3 linked regions of the Neurospora crassa OR74A genome follow. The protein of the gene in region 1 interacts with the protein of each later gene in a biochemical or structural test. Links are inferred from orthologs where the notes say so. Each region holds a gene or a part of one and is shown in the gene's direction. Other genes may lie near its edges.

Region 1 (3,749 bases):
CTCGACCTTCAAAACCTTCCACTTCTACACCTTACCCATCTTCCTGCAAGACGATATCGAAAAAGTTGATCAAGACTCCTCTCAGTTGTCTCACTACGACCCACTCCTCACGAACCATCAAGACAAGTCATAACATCAAGACCATCACAATGGCCGGCGGCGACGATCTCAGCAAGAAGGAAGTCAACATTCTTCCCCACGACACCCAGAAGGACGAGCAAGTACGTTACCATTTCCTCCCTAGTCTGGTGCCTTGTGTGAATCACAGAAAACAGAAAACTGACTCTTTGGCCAAACAAATAGAAGAACCCCAACAACCCCCTCAACAAGCTCGCTGATAGTGCCAAGGCCACGTTCGAGCAGGCGTCAAAGGCCATGCCCGGTCCCGCCATCTCGCAGAACATCGGCGGCGAGGAGGGCACCAAGGAGGAGCGCAGGGCCAAGGCCGAGACGCTCAACAAGTAAAGATATGGACTCGGACAAACAGGGGAATGGATGGAATGATTGCAATGACTGAATGATACACACACATACACATAACATAATTGAACTGTTTTGACAATTACTCTGATGGATCAGTCCTGTTGGAGCCTAAAGTGACTTTGGTGGTGGAATTGCGCCCAAATGAGAGGGGTCTGGTCCTCGAAAGTTGTCTCAAATGGGAGCAATGTTAGCATGTGAAGGTAGGTAGGTACTTTCATGTCATCCCATGTTCGTACATACCTACACTACTTTCATCCTATATCAACCTGAGCCATATAACCTCCAAATGCACATGGAAGTTGTTGTCATTGCCAGTTTCAACATGTCCCTCAAACACCCAGCTCTCGGAGGAACCGTCTCGTTGGACATCCATCATCACGGCGGGCAAGCGAAAGGTCGGCTGTGCAAGCGGCGGGCGGGAATAGTGGAGGGGTTCAGTTGAGGGATAGGTACCCACTGTTAGTGGACACGGACAATTGACGCCCTATCCACCCCCGGCACAATGTCATGACGCTATCTGGTTCATGTCCACAAGTTGGTCGCTTCCCGTCGGAAATTGGTCATTGTGGCTTGCTGGGGTTTCGTTGCCATCCTGATTCCATTCAGTCAAAGCCAAACAGCCCGGTCGTTGCCGCCGCCGTAGTGATGCAACTCCCAATCCCCGTACATAGTGTAGTTAAGTAGTGTACACTCACTGCATGCCTAAGGAACCTCTTGCCAGGTACACCCGCAATTCAACTTCCTTCTTGTCTACCTTGCAATGGGACTTGCTCCTCTCTCTGTAGTCTGTACAGCTTTAATACATTGAATTTTCACGGCAGATTATAACTAAGCTTGCCAACTGAAGGCTGCTGGATCATTGTCCGAGGTACGTTATTCCCAGCCTGCCGCCGTCTCTTCTACTCAGTATCTGCTTTTGCTCCTTTCAGTCATTGGACATCCGGGCGGCCGAGTCTTCCTTATTCCTCCCACCAACCACCAAACATCCGTGCCTCCAATACCCAGACCTACCTCTAGCTAACCGGCAACTTCCATTGTCTCTTCTAGGCTTCCGTCAACTGCTTTTATTCCTACGCGGCAAGGCCACGGAAGCGCGGAGCTTTACTTTATCTTGTACCGACAAGATACTTGGCCGTCGATAACAAGCGCCAACGACCCGAAAAGCATTAATACGACATCCCACTTCCGACTTGCTACCTCACCCTTCGGTCGACGTTGCCCCCCTCCCCTCGCCGACCGACCCGCCGACCGGATCAAGGCACGACGACTCAGCTTCATAACAGTACCTCTCGGCGCTGCGCCCGCCGGCCGAGTCCTTCTACCGAATTTCCGCATAACGACTCCCAATCTATCCATGCTTTGCTCCCCCTGGACGATCTAAAGGGGACGACAGGCCGCAACCTACCTCAAGCCACTTCCACGCTTCCACCCCCCATATATATTCACGATGCCGTCCATCCTCAGCGACGACGACAAGGAAACGGTCAAGCGCTGCGTGCCCAAGCAGACCAACAAGATCCACGCCGTCGCCGTCGCCAGGCTCTATGTAGCCTACCCCAACCCGTCCAGATGGACCTATACCGGCCTCCAGGGTGCCGTCGTTCTGGCAAATGATCTCGTGGGCAACACATATTGGATCAAGATGGTTGATATCTCGGTAAGTGTGAAAATGACGATTGCGTGGCTGGCCACCATTTGGCTGACATCGGACAGCCCGGAAACAGGGGAGTGATATGGGACCAGGAGATCTTCGACACTTGGAACTACAACCAGGACCGTGTCTTCTTCCATACCTTCGAGCTTGAGGAATGCCTGGCTGGCTTGTCCTTCGTGGACGAGAAGGAAGCCAAGCAGTTCCTCAAGAAGATGAACGACAGGGAAAAGAACGCCAGCAAGGCTACCAGCAAGACACCTTTCGGAGGCGCATCCCAGGCACACCACCACAAGCACCACGGTCTTTTCGGCGGTCTGTTTGGAGGACATAAGCACGCGTCTCCGACAGCCACCCCGCCCGAGTCGCCACGTGCCGCTGCACCGGCAGGCCGTATGAGAGCTGGAAGCACTAATGGAATAAACGGATACAAGCCTCCTTCCGAGTTTGCGACCCTGGATGCTTTCGATCCCCTGTGGAGGGAACACTTCGGTGACGACCTCAAGGCCCAAGGCCTCGACGACGACTTCATCCGCGAAAACCAGGACTTTATCATTGAGTTCTTGAAACAGGAGCAAGCGAAGCAGGGTATACACACGAGCACTCCTCCGCCGCCGCCGCCGCCGCCATCCGCTCCTCCTAATGGTCCCGCAATGAGAGCTCCCCCACCACCTCCTCCTGCTGCTGCTCCGCGCAGTGTCTCCGAGTCGATAACTCCATCGACCTCTAGGAGAGGGCCAGTACCCCCGCCTCCCCCTCCAGCAAGGAGATCCGGCAAGCTCGACACGGAAAACCACCAGGAACCGGCCCCTCCGCCGAGATTTGCTGTTCCTCCTCCCATCGCCGATGCTGGCAAGTTTGCCCACTCTGATCCCCCGCGACATACGCCCTCTGCGCCTGGACCTCCACCACCTCCCCGGCCGCCGAAGACGCCACTCGAAGATCAGGACCCGAGCCAGAGGTTCAGCGTTCCTCCGCCATTCACAGGCCAACGAAGTGTACCCCCGCCGCCTCCCAGCCGTAGCTCTGTTCCTCCGCCACCGCCCCCGAGAAATTCAGCTGCGCAACCTCCTCTGCCTCCCAAGGCACCGGGACCAGCACCTCCCCTCCCGCCTGCGAGCTCACGGCCGCCCCCCATGTTGCCAACTAGAAGCCCGGCACCACCGCAGGCACCGCCTCTCCCGACCTCGAACGCGCCACCTCCGCCGCCTTTACCGGCCACCCAGGCGCCTCCACCACCTCCCCTTCCCGCAACCAGCGCGCCTCCTCCGCCACCACCGGCACCGCCAGCACCTCCGGCGCCCCCTCTACCCGCAGCACATGCTCCCCCGCCGCCGCCTCCCATGCCACCCATGCCCGCACCATCAGGCGGCGCACCGCCTCCGCCTCCGCCTCCTCCACCGGGTGGTATGGGTGGTGTCCCTCCCCCTCCTCCTCCCCCTCCTCCAGGTGGTATGCCTCCACCGCCCGCCCCTGCCTTGCCACCTGTTGACGGCAGTCGTTCGGCCGTGTTGGACGGCATCAAGACCGCGGGAGGTATCAGGGCGTTGAAGAAGGTAGACAGAAGCCAGATTCGCGATCGTTCCGGTGCTGCTGTTCCTGGTGGCTCCGATAG
Region 2 (3,684 bases), on another chromosome or scaffold:
ACCACCGTCCAATCCGTATTCATGATCACCAGACCAGTTTGACTCTGAGGAGCTGTCCGACATGTCCATATCTGATTCAGGTGACCCATGGCCGGGCTCGGCATTTTTGCTGCTCATCGTGGGCGCAGCTGTGATAGAACGACTCGAGGAGATAGTCGAAGCAGCGTGTGATCTGGCGAGGTCGAGTTGTCTGGTAATCGAGCATGTGTCTTTCAAGCGAGTCTGTATTCTGAGGGCACATAGAGTCCTTAGTTTTGGTGTGTCATGGGTGACTTTTGTGCCTTGGGACAAAGATGGGCGAAAAGACTTATCGAGGCAAGGGCGAAGAGTTGGAGAAGATCGGAACGGGTGGATGAGATGAAAAGGGTGGTCGGACTTGGTGTCCCTCGTAAAAGCAACCTGCTAAAACAATGAATGGGAATAATGCTCGGTAGTGATAATGTCTTGAGGGGTATTTGAGATTGGAGCGATGCCCAATGAGCTAGATGATGCACTCAGGGTGGCCCGAGGGGTGAAGAGTCCCTTTGGATACAGTAGGTGGGCGGGATGAAGATGTGTGAAGGCAAAGGTGGCAAAATACAGAATACGACAGAGAGAGAGAGACGGAGAGAGAGACGAAACGGAATGTGGACACTGGACAGGTTGATGATTCGTTGTGATAAGTGAGAAGCTGTGAGTGTGTGTAGCTTCTCCGCAAAGTGGACTTGCTTCGAGAGGATGAAGCTGAAATGAATCCGACAGAAATGGCAGGTGTGAGGGAATCTGGCTGGAGGTGATTTTCCATTCAGTATCTCCTTCCTTCTTAGAAGGACACATCCTGTCTGGCTGGCCTTGTCGCTACAGTTTTGATACCGATCGGCCCCACTTTTTCCTAGCCATCATCGTCCGGGCCCGGGCCGTGTGCTTCAAACTCCGATGCTTGGGACCGGGGCATCGGTTAGGTTTCGGGGGGCTCGGATGGCGCGCAGGTGGCAGCGAGGTGTTTGGTTCCGTCATCTCCAGTTATGGCGTAGGTCCCGTCGCTGGAAATGCACAACTGACTAAATGGACCGCCGTACCATACGGGGACCTCGCGGTCTTGGCGCACAGCCGCACAGGTACCTCCACAGTACCACGCAGCGCTGTCAGCCAGACGAGTAAGGAGAGCTAGCTCGGCCAGGCACGTACAATCTTGGACATCAACCTCCATTTCCCGCCTGGCCTATCCACTACCCATCCACGCTCCCGCCCCGTCACTTCATCCATCACCAACTAACAACAGCCGTTGCTTTACCAAACCGCAATCATCACGAGCTGCGCGTAGCAGCACACCACCGCAACAATGGCCAACACAACCCCCGCCGTTGTCATGGACAAGTACGTGCATCCAAGTGTCCCGTCTCCACCCCGCCCGCTCCTTAACAGCTCCGGGGCCGTCATCGCTAACATCCCCTAACCAGCGGCACGGGGTTCTCCAAGCTAGGTTCGCGACTCCGACACCCCAAGATATCCAATGACCACCGATTGACCAAGCTCTTCGTCGTCTGCAGGTTTCGCCGGCAATGATTCCCCCTCGTTCGTATTCCCGACGGCCATCGCGACCAAAAGCCCCTCGGCAGGCACCGGCGGCTCGGGCTCTGGCCGCCCCGCCGTAGCCAACAAGCCATCCTTCCTCACCGGCGGCGCGGGTCCAGGTGGCCATCTCTCAGCAAAGCGCGGAACCGAAGACCTCGACTACTTTATCGGCGACGAGGCCGTAGCGGCCGCCAATGGACCTGGTACGTTGGTCTACACCGCCTCAACGGAAATGGGTGCTGACGGTGTTAGGCTACGGGTTGCACTATCCCATCAGACACGGACAGATCGAGAACTGGGTGCGTTCAGGCTGCTAGATGGCATGTCACAAATGCCTAGAGCTAACTGGAGCTTAGGATCACATGGAAAGGTTCTGGTCCAACTCCATCTTCAAGTATCTGAGAGTAGAGCCTGAGGACCACCACTTCCTCCTCACTGAGCCCGTAAGACTACACTTTCCAAGCCACATCAGTACTACGTCTGCAGCACTGACACGTCGATTCAGCCTCTCAACCCTCCCGAGAACCGCGAAAACACCGCCGAGATCTTCTTCGAATCCTTCAACTGCGCCGGTCTCTACATTGCCGTCCAGGCCGTTCTGGCCCTTGCGGCTTCCTGGACATCATCCAAGGTCCAGGACAGATCCTTGACCGGTACTGTCATTGATTCGGGTGATGGTGTGACACACGTTATCCCGGTCGCCGAAGGTTACGTTATCGGCTCGTCCATCAAGTCGATCCCTATTGCCGGTCGCGATATCACCTACTTTGTCCAGTCGCTTCTCCGTGACCGCGGCGAGCCCGATTCGTCCCTCAAGACGGCCCAGGAGATCAAGGAGGAGTACTGCTACGTCTGTCCGGATATTGTCAAGGAGTTTGCCAAGTACGACCGCGATCGCAGCCGATTCCTGAAGCACACCATTACCCAGCCCGGTGGCCGCCAAGTTACGGTTGATGTTGGCTACGAGCGTTTCATGGCGCCCGAAATCTTCTTCAACCCCGAGATTTACTCGTCCGATTTCCTTACGCCCCTGCCCGTGGTTGTTGATGGTGTCATTCAGTCTTCGCCCATCGATGTCCGTCGTGGTCTCTACAAGAACATTGTTCTTTCGGGTGGCAGCACGCTCTACAAGGACTTTGGTCGCAGGCTACAGCGCGATATCAAGCAGCTTGTCGATACGCGAATCAAGGCCAGCGAGGTGCGCAGCGGTGGAGCAAAGAGCGGTGGTCTTGATGTCCAGGTTATCACCCACAAAAGGCAACGGCACGGCCCGTGGTTTGGTGGTAGCTTGCTCGGTCAGACGCCCGAGTTCCGGTCGTACTGCCACACCAAGGCAGAGGTATGTTTCTTTACCCTTTTACCATTGGCAGTCTGGTTGCTGACGGATCTTTACAGTACCAAGAATATGGACCCAGCATCGTGCGCAGGTTCGCTCTGCTCGGAGGACCTGGTGGATCTTAAGCGTAGTTATTTGTGTACAGGAGCGAGTCCGCATCTTATTTGGCAGGCAGCGGGCGCCGATGCTTATATAATGGCGATGAATAGAAAAGAGGAACTACTTAATGCTAGTGAAGTTGGGTCAGCGTAGACGGCCAATGTGTCTGTTGTTGTGTTGATGTTTAGGAATCCGTTGCGCAGAGCAACGGTCCCCTTAAAAGGGGGGCTTAATGGTACCGATCGGCTGGTTCCGGAGGCGGCGTGCCAAGCCATTGACGGCATTCACTGTAACTCTCGGTAAGCAAGGATGTGTCAGCACCACGACCACCGGTTCGCGCCGGGTGGCCTGATATGGCCCGACAGTTCTGGAACTGGCCGAACTCCCATCGGGCAAGCTAACCGATAGCTTCGCATCAGTTTCACAACTTGCTGATTTTTCTCTTCATTTTTTCAATGTTGTTCCTATTCTCAGCCCATTGATTAGATTCTAATCAGGACTGGGCTCGATTGTCATGTTGAAAGATGTTGCCTGACATGCTCGGACGTCACCTCACAGTAAACCGACCGTGTTCCCAGAGAGCATTCACAGTTTGGAGGGTTCAGTGATCAGATTGCTTACTTTGCGCCGGGCAAGGAGCAAAAGGTTATGCAACTTTCTGCATGCCTTCATAGAGGTCGGTACCATAGGTATGG
Region 3 (3,749 bases), about 8.6 Mb from region 1:
CTTCTTCGTCCACCCTTGTCTCCTCGGCGAGGCCATGTCGACCTTTGACAATGTCTCGATCGAGAACTACCTGATGGTTTGGCTTGGACTCGTCGGCGGCTGTGTCAGCCTTTGGGTCCCCAAGGAAATGGCCTTGGAGCCTTCCTCCGCCTAGAGGAAGTGGGAGTAGCGCGGTGTATGTTGTACATGCAGCTAGCGGTGCGTCTTCTGCATTGTCCTTCGAGAGGGCGAATTTTTCATCCATCCGCTTCATTGCGCCTTCATTTTTCGTCATCCTTCCCCACCGCGAGCTGGTATCTTAAACAAGAAGCAAATGCCATAGTGGACACCCATCAGTCCTCGTCGCTGTCTTCCTCCATAGCAACGTCCGAATCGCTCTCCTCCTCTTCTTCCTCCTCCTCCCGTGGCCGCTTCGTTCCCCGGTTCTCCTCTGCCGGTGTGGTTGTCTCCGTCCCGGGAGGCTTGGCTGGCGAACCTTGTGGTGCTGGACTCTCGGTATTCGTAGTAGGGGCGCCTGGTACTGGGGCACTAAAGATACTCTGTTGGACGGTGGTGAGGGCCACGGCGGCGGCGGCCTTGGGTGGCACGAGAGTACCGTCGAGTTTGGCGATGATGTTGGAGCGGCCCTTGGCGTAGGTGATTTTCTAGGCAAACCCAAGTTAGCATGTGAAGGGCTACCGCTGAAATATTCAACCCGAGAAGACCTACCATTTTGCGGCCCAAAAACTCCATGCCGTCAAGTGACCTCATGGCCTGTGTTGCTGTCTGAATGTCCCGGTAGACAATGTGTGCTTGCCCGCGCATCTTCATGGTCTTGAGAGCGACGACATCGAGGACGGGGCCGTAGGTGGAGAAGAGCATGTATAGTGCTGTACGGAGGTCGTCCTTCTGGATCTTAGCTGAGGGGAGGTTCGTGACGTAGAGAGTCTGGTTTGGCGGGTTCGAGACCACCTTTTGGGGGAGGCCCGCGGGGGGAGCAATACGCGTAGCCATTGCCGCGTAGGAATCCGGGAGTTGATGCTGTTGTTGTTTGTCCAATGCAGGTTGTTAATTGTCGCGTAGATTTTCAGTATATCGTAGGCGCCTCGTGGTAGGGGTTAATATCGTCAATTGTCTCGTCGTCGTCGTCGTCGTCGCTCGGGTGTATGATGTTCAGTGTTCAATCATGAATTCAAGTCGCGGCGGCGCATGCGATGTCGACAATTCAGATGCTGGTCCAAAAATTGGAGACAGTGGCCAGCCAGCCTACGAACCATCGAAATCGGTACACAAACCCCACGGGCGTGGGTGCAGCTTGTTGGAGGTACTGCGGTTGCGAGCAAAAGTAAAACCCCCTTGTCAGGTATCTTGCACGGACCACCACAGCCAGAGCTTCGTGAGCACTGTGTGGTCGACGACCTGATCCACGGGTTTAACTTACCCATCTCACCATAGTAGGTTCCAGTTCCAGGTGGGTCAGCCCCGGCCGGCAGCAGGGCACTCTTGGCGGCGTCACCCACCCGCAGCCAACCCCACCACCATACGCTGCCGCAACGGTGCCCCTGGAGCCTGGCGGTCTGACCTCATTTCAGGCGTCCAGCCCGCTGTAGTTACGGAGCTCTCCCGCTTCCCGTTCCCGGGCACAGCTTCCCCTTTCCAATTACAACATCCGGCTCCGACACCACCGAACCAAGACATTCGATCACACTCTCCGTCATCACCGTCCCCGATTCCGAGCGCGGTAGTAGAGAGCTATACTCCTATCGCATACCTTATTTCTACACAACACCAACCTAACAACCCACAATGGCTGCTCCCGAGGTCCACCATCTCTTCCACCACCCCATCGCCGACCACTCCTTCTCGGCCGATCGCCAGACCTTGGCCATTGCCCGCGACACCCAGGTCGAGCTCTACGGCAGAGTCGGCAATGCCTTCAAGCTCAAGGATGAGCTCAAGGGCCATGACAAGCTTGTCACCAGCGTCGACATTGCTCCCAACACCGGGCGTATTGTGACCTGCTCTCAGGGTAGGCCCCCCCTTTCGCAACCCAGGCACCCCATAATGCCACCATCACAGTCAGCTAGACTAACAACCAACCCCAACTCACAGACCGCAACGCCCTCGTCTGGGAACCCTCCCCCACCGGCTACAAGCCCACCCTCGTGCTCCTCCGTATTTCCCGCGCCGCCACCTTCGTCCGCTGGTCTCCCTCGGAAGCCAAGTTCGCCGTCGGCTCCGGCGACCGCGTCATCGCCATCTGCTACTTTGAGGAGGAAAACGACTGGTGGGTATCCAAGCACCTGAAGAAGCCGATCCGATCCACCATCACCTCTGTCGCCTGGCACCCCAACAGCGTTCTTCTTGCTGCCGGCTCCACCGACGCCCACGCCCGCGTCTTTTCCGCCTTCATCAAGGGCACCGACCAGCGCCCCGAGCCGAGCCCCTGGGGCGAGAGATTGCCTTTCAACACGGTCTGCGGCGAGTTCCTGAACAACTCTGCCGGATGGGTGCATTCTGTTGCCTTCAGCCCGAGCGGCGACGCTCTGGCGTTTGCGGCGCATGACTCCTCCATCACCGTCGTCTACCCCTCTGCGCCCGAGCAGCCGCCCAAGGCGGTGATCAGCATCAACACGCAGCTTTTGCCCTTTATGAGCCTCTTCTGGAACGGAGAGACTGAGATCATTGCTGCGGGTTACGATTGCGAGGCTTTCCGCTTCCAAGGCGGCGAGCAGGGGTGGCAGCTGGCCGGCACGCTGGAGAAGGCCAAGGCCGGAGGAAGACCGGGTCTTGGTGACGAGGACAGAGAGGAGTCTGCGCTGAACATGTTCAAGCAGATGGACCTGAAGGGTAAGGTCAGCAAGGATGATACCATGTTGAAGACGGTGCATCAGAATACGGTTACTATGTTGAGGCCCTTTGAGGAGAGTGGTGGACGGGTGACCAAGTTTAGTTGTGAGTGTTCCCCATTTTTACATGACCTGTGGTTTCAAGAATTATTGATGCTAACTTGACACAACAGCGAGCGGTGTTGACGGCAGAGTCGTCATCTGGCACACCTAGATTTCCCCTCGATGAAAGAGGGTTGCTGCACACATTGGGAAGCAGAAAAGCCAAGCAAGCAAGCGTAACATCTAATGTTAATGGAACAAGAGTGAATGGCTGATAATGAATCAGATTCAAAGTCAAGATCCATCAATGTCAGTTTAGCGGGTAACTTTCCCGGTCTTTGATTTCTGCCCTATCCGTGCTTCCCGGTATCCGCCAAAGTGATTGATTGTCCATTCACCCATTGTACAGAGACTTATCATGTCACTTCTCCACAGTGAGCTATCCGTTTGTCATGACCGCCCGGCCAATTTTGCAAGATATGTATGTGTGAATCAGACACACAGTCAAGAACAAATACAGGTTCAATACATACAAAGCAATTCATTGACTTCCGCTTGTGGCTTGCCGGACACATTCCGATTTGCCGTGATAACTTCCATAAAAGGATCATAAGAGAACTAATAACCGGCAGCAGGAGAAGTGCATGTCACAATTCATGTCCATACCTACCATTGTTTTGTCCCTGTCGATTATTTATTCCATATCCTTTCGCTCCTCATCCAGACCTTCAGCTTCAAAAGCAGTTTACCATAAGTAATCAGCCGTCCGTCACTCCGTCCCTTTCAGCTATCCAAACAAACTCAACTTACCTCGCTTTGCCTCCATCTTCCCTGCCTGCCTACTTCGTTGTCTGGTTAGAAGAAGAAACAGCGGGATCA

The links.
Region 2: the proteins of NCU07438 (region 1) and arp-3 form a complex in vitro, tested with the Saccharomyces cerevisiae proteins (4 studies listed by BioGRID, with this or other methods). The link is inferred for Neurospora crassa OR74A from reciprocal best matches to the Saccharomyces cerevisiae genes LAS17 and ARP3.
Region 3: the proteins of NCU07438 (region 1) and NCU02781 form a complex in vitro, tested with the Saccharomyces cerevisiae proteins (2 studies listed by BioGRID). The link is inferred for Neurospora crassa OR74A from reciprocal best matches to the Saccharomyces cerevisiae genes LAS17 and ARC40.

The regions. Positions count from the first base shown.
Region 1 is NC_026501.1:625,223-628,971, forward strand, and holds the start of NCU07438 (WASP-like protein las17p), read left to right. Parts: upstream 1-1,129; 5' UTR 1,130-1,351; intron 1,352-1,530; 5' UTR 1,531-1,930; coding exon 1,931-2,140; intron 2,141-2,196; coding exon 2,197-3,749. Other genes in the region: NCU07439 (hypothetical protein), read left to right, coding at 150-221, 304-465.
Region 2 is NC_026502.1:2,534,898-2,538,581, forward strand, and holds arp-3 (actin), read left to right. Parts: upstream 1-1,129; 5' UTR 1,130-1,321; coding exon 1,322-1,356; intron 1,357-1,439; coding exon 1,440-1,462; intron 1,463-1,529; coding exon 1,530-1,757; intron 1,758-1,806; coding exon 1,807-1,853; intron 1,854-1,910; coding exon 1,911-1,997; intron 1,998-2,059; coding exon 2,060-2,893; intron 2,894-2,949; coding exon 2,950-3,015; 3' UTR 3,016-3,177; downstream 3,178-3,684. Other genes in the region: NCU01757 (asparaginase), read right to left, coding at 1-117. UniProt on the Saccharomyces cerevisiae protein: Functions as ATP-binding component of the Arp2/3 complex which is involved in regulation of actin polymerization and together with an activating nucleation-promoting factor (NPF) mediates the formation of branched actin networks.
Region 3 is NC_026501.1:9,216,121-9,219,869, reverse strand, and holds NCU02781 (hypothetical protein), read left to right. Parts: upstream 1-1,561; 5' UTR 1,562-1,785; coding exon 1,786-2,008; intron 2,009-2,091; coding exon 2,092-2,934; intron 2,935-3,001; coding exon 3,002-3,042; 3' UTR 3,043-3,333; downstream 3,334-3,749. Other genes in the region: NCU02779 (hypothetical protein), read left to right, coding at 1-154; NCU02780 (U2 small nuclear ribonucleoprotein B), read right to left, coding at 333-644, 709-993. UniProt on the Saccharomyces cerevisiae protein: Functions as a component of the Arp2/3 complex which is involved in regulation of actin polymerization and together with an activating nucleation-promoting factor (NPF) mediates the formation of branched actin networks.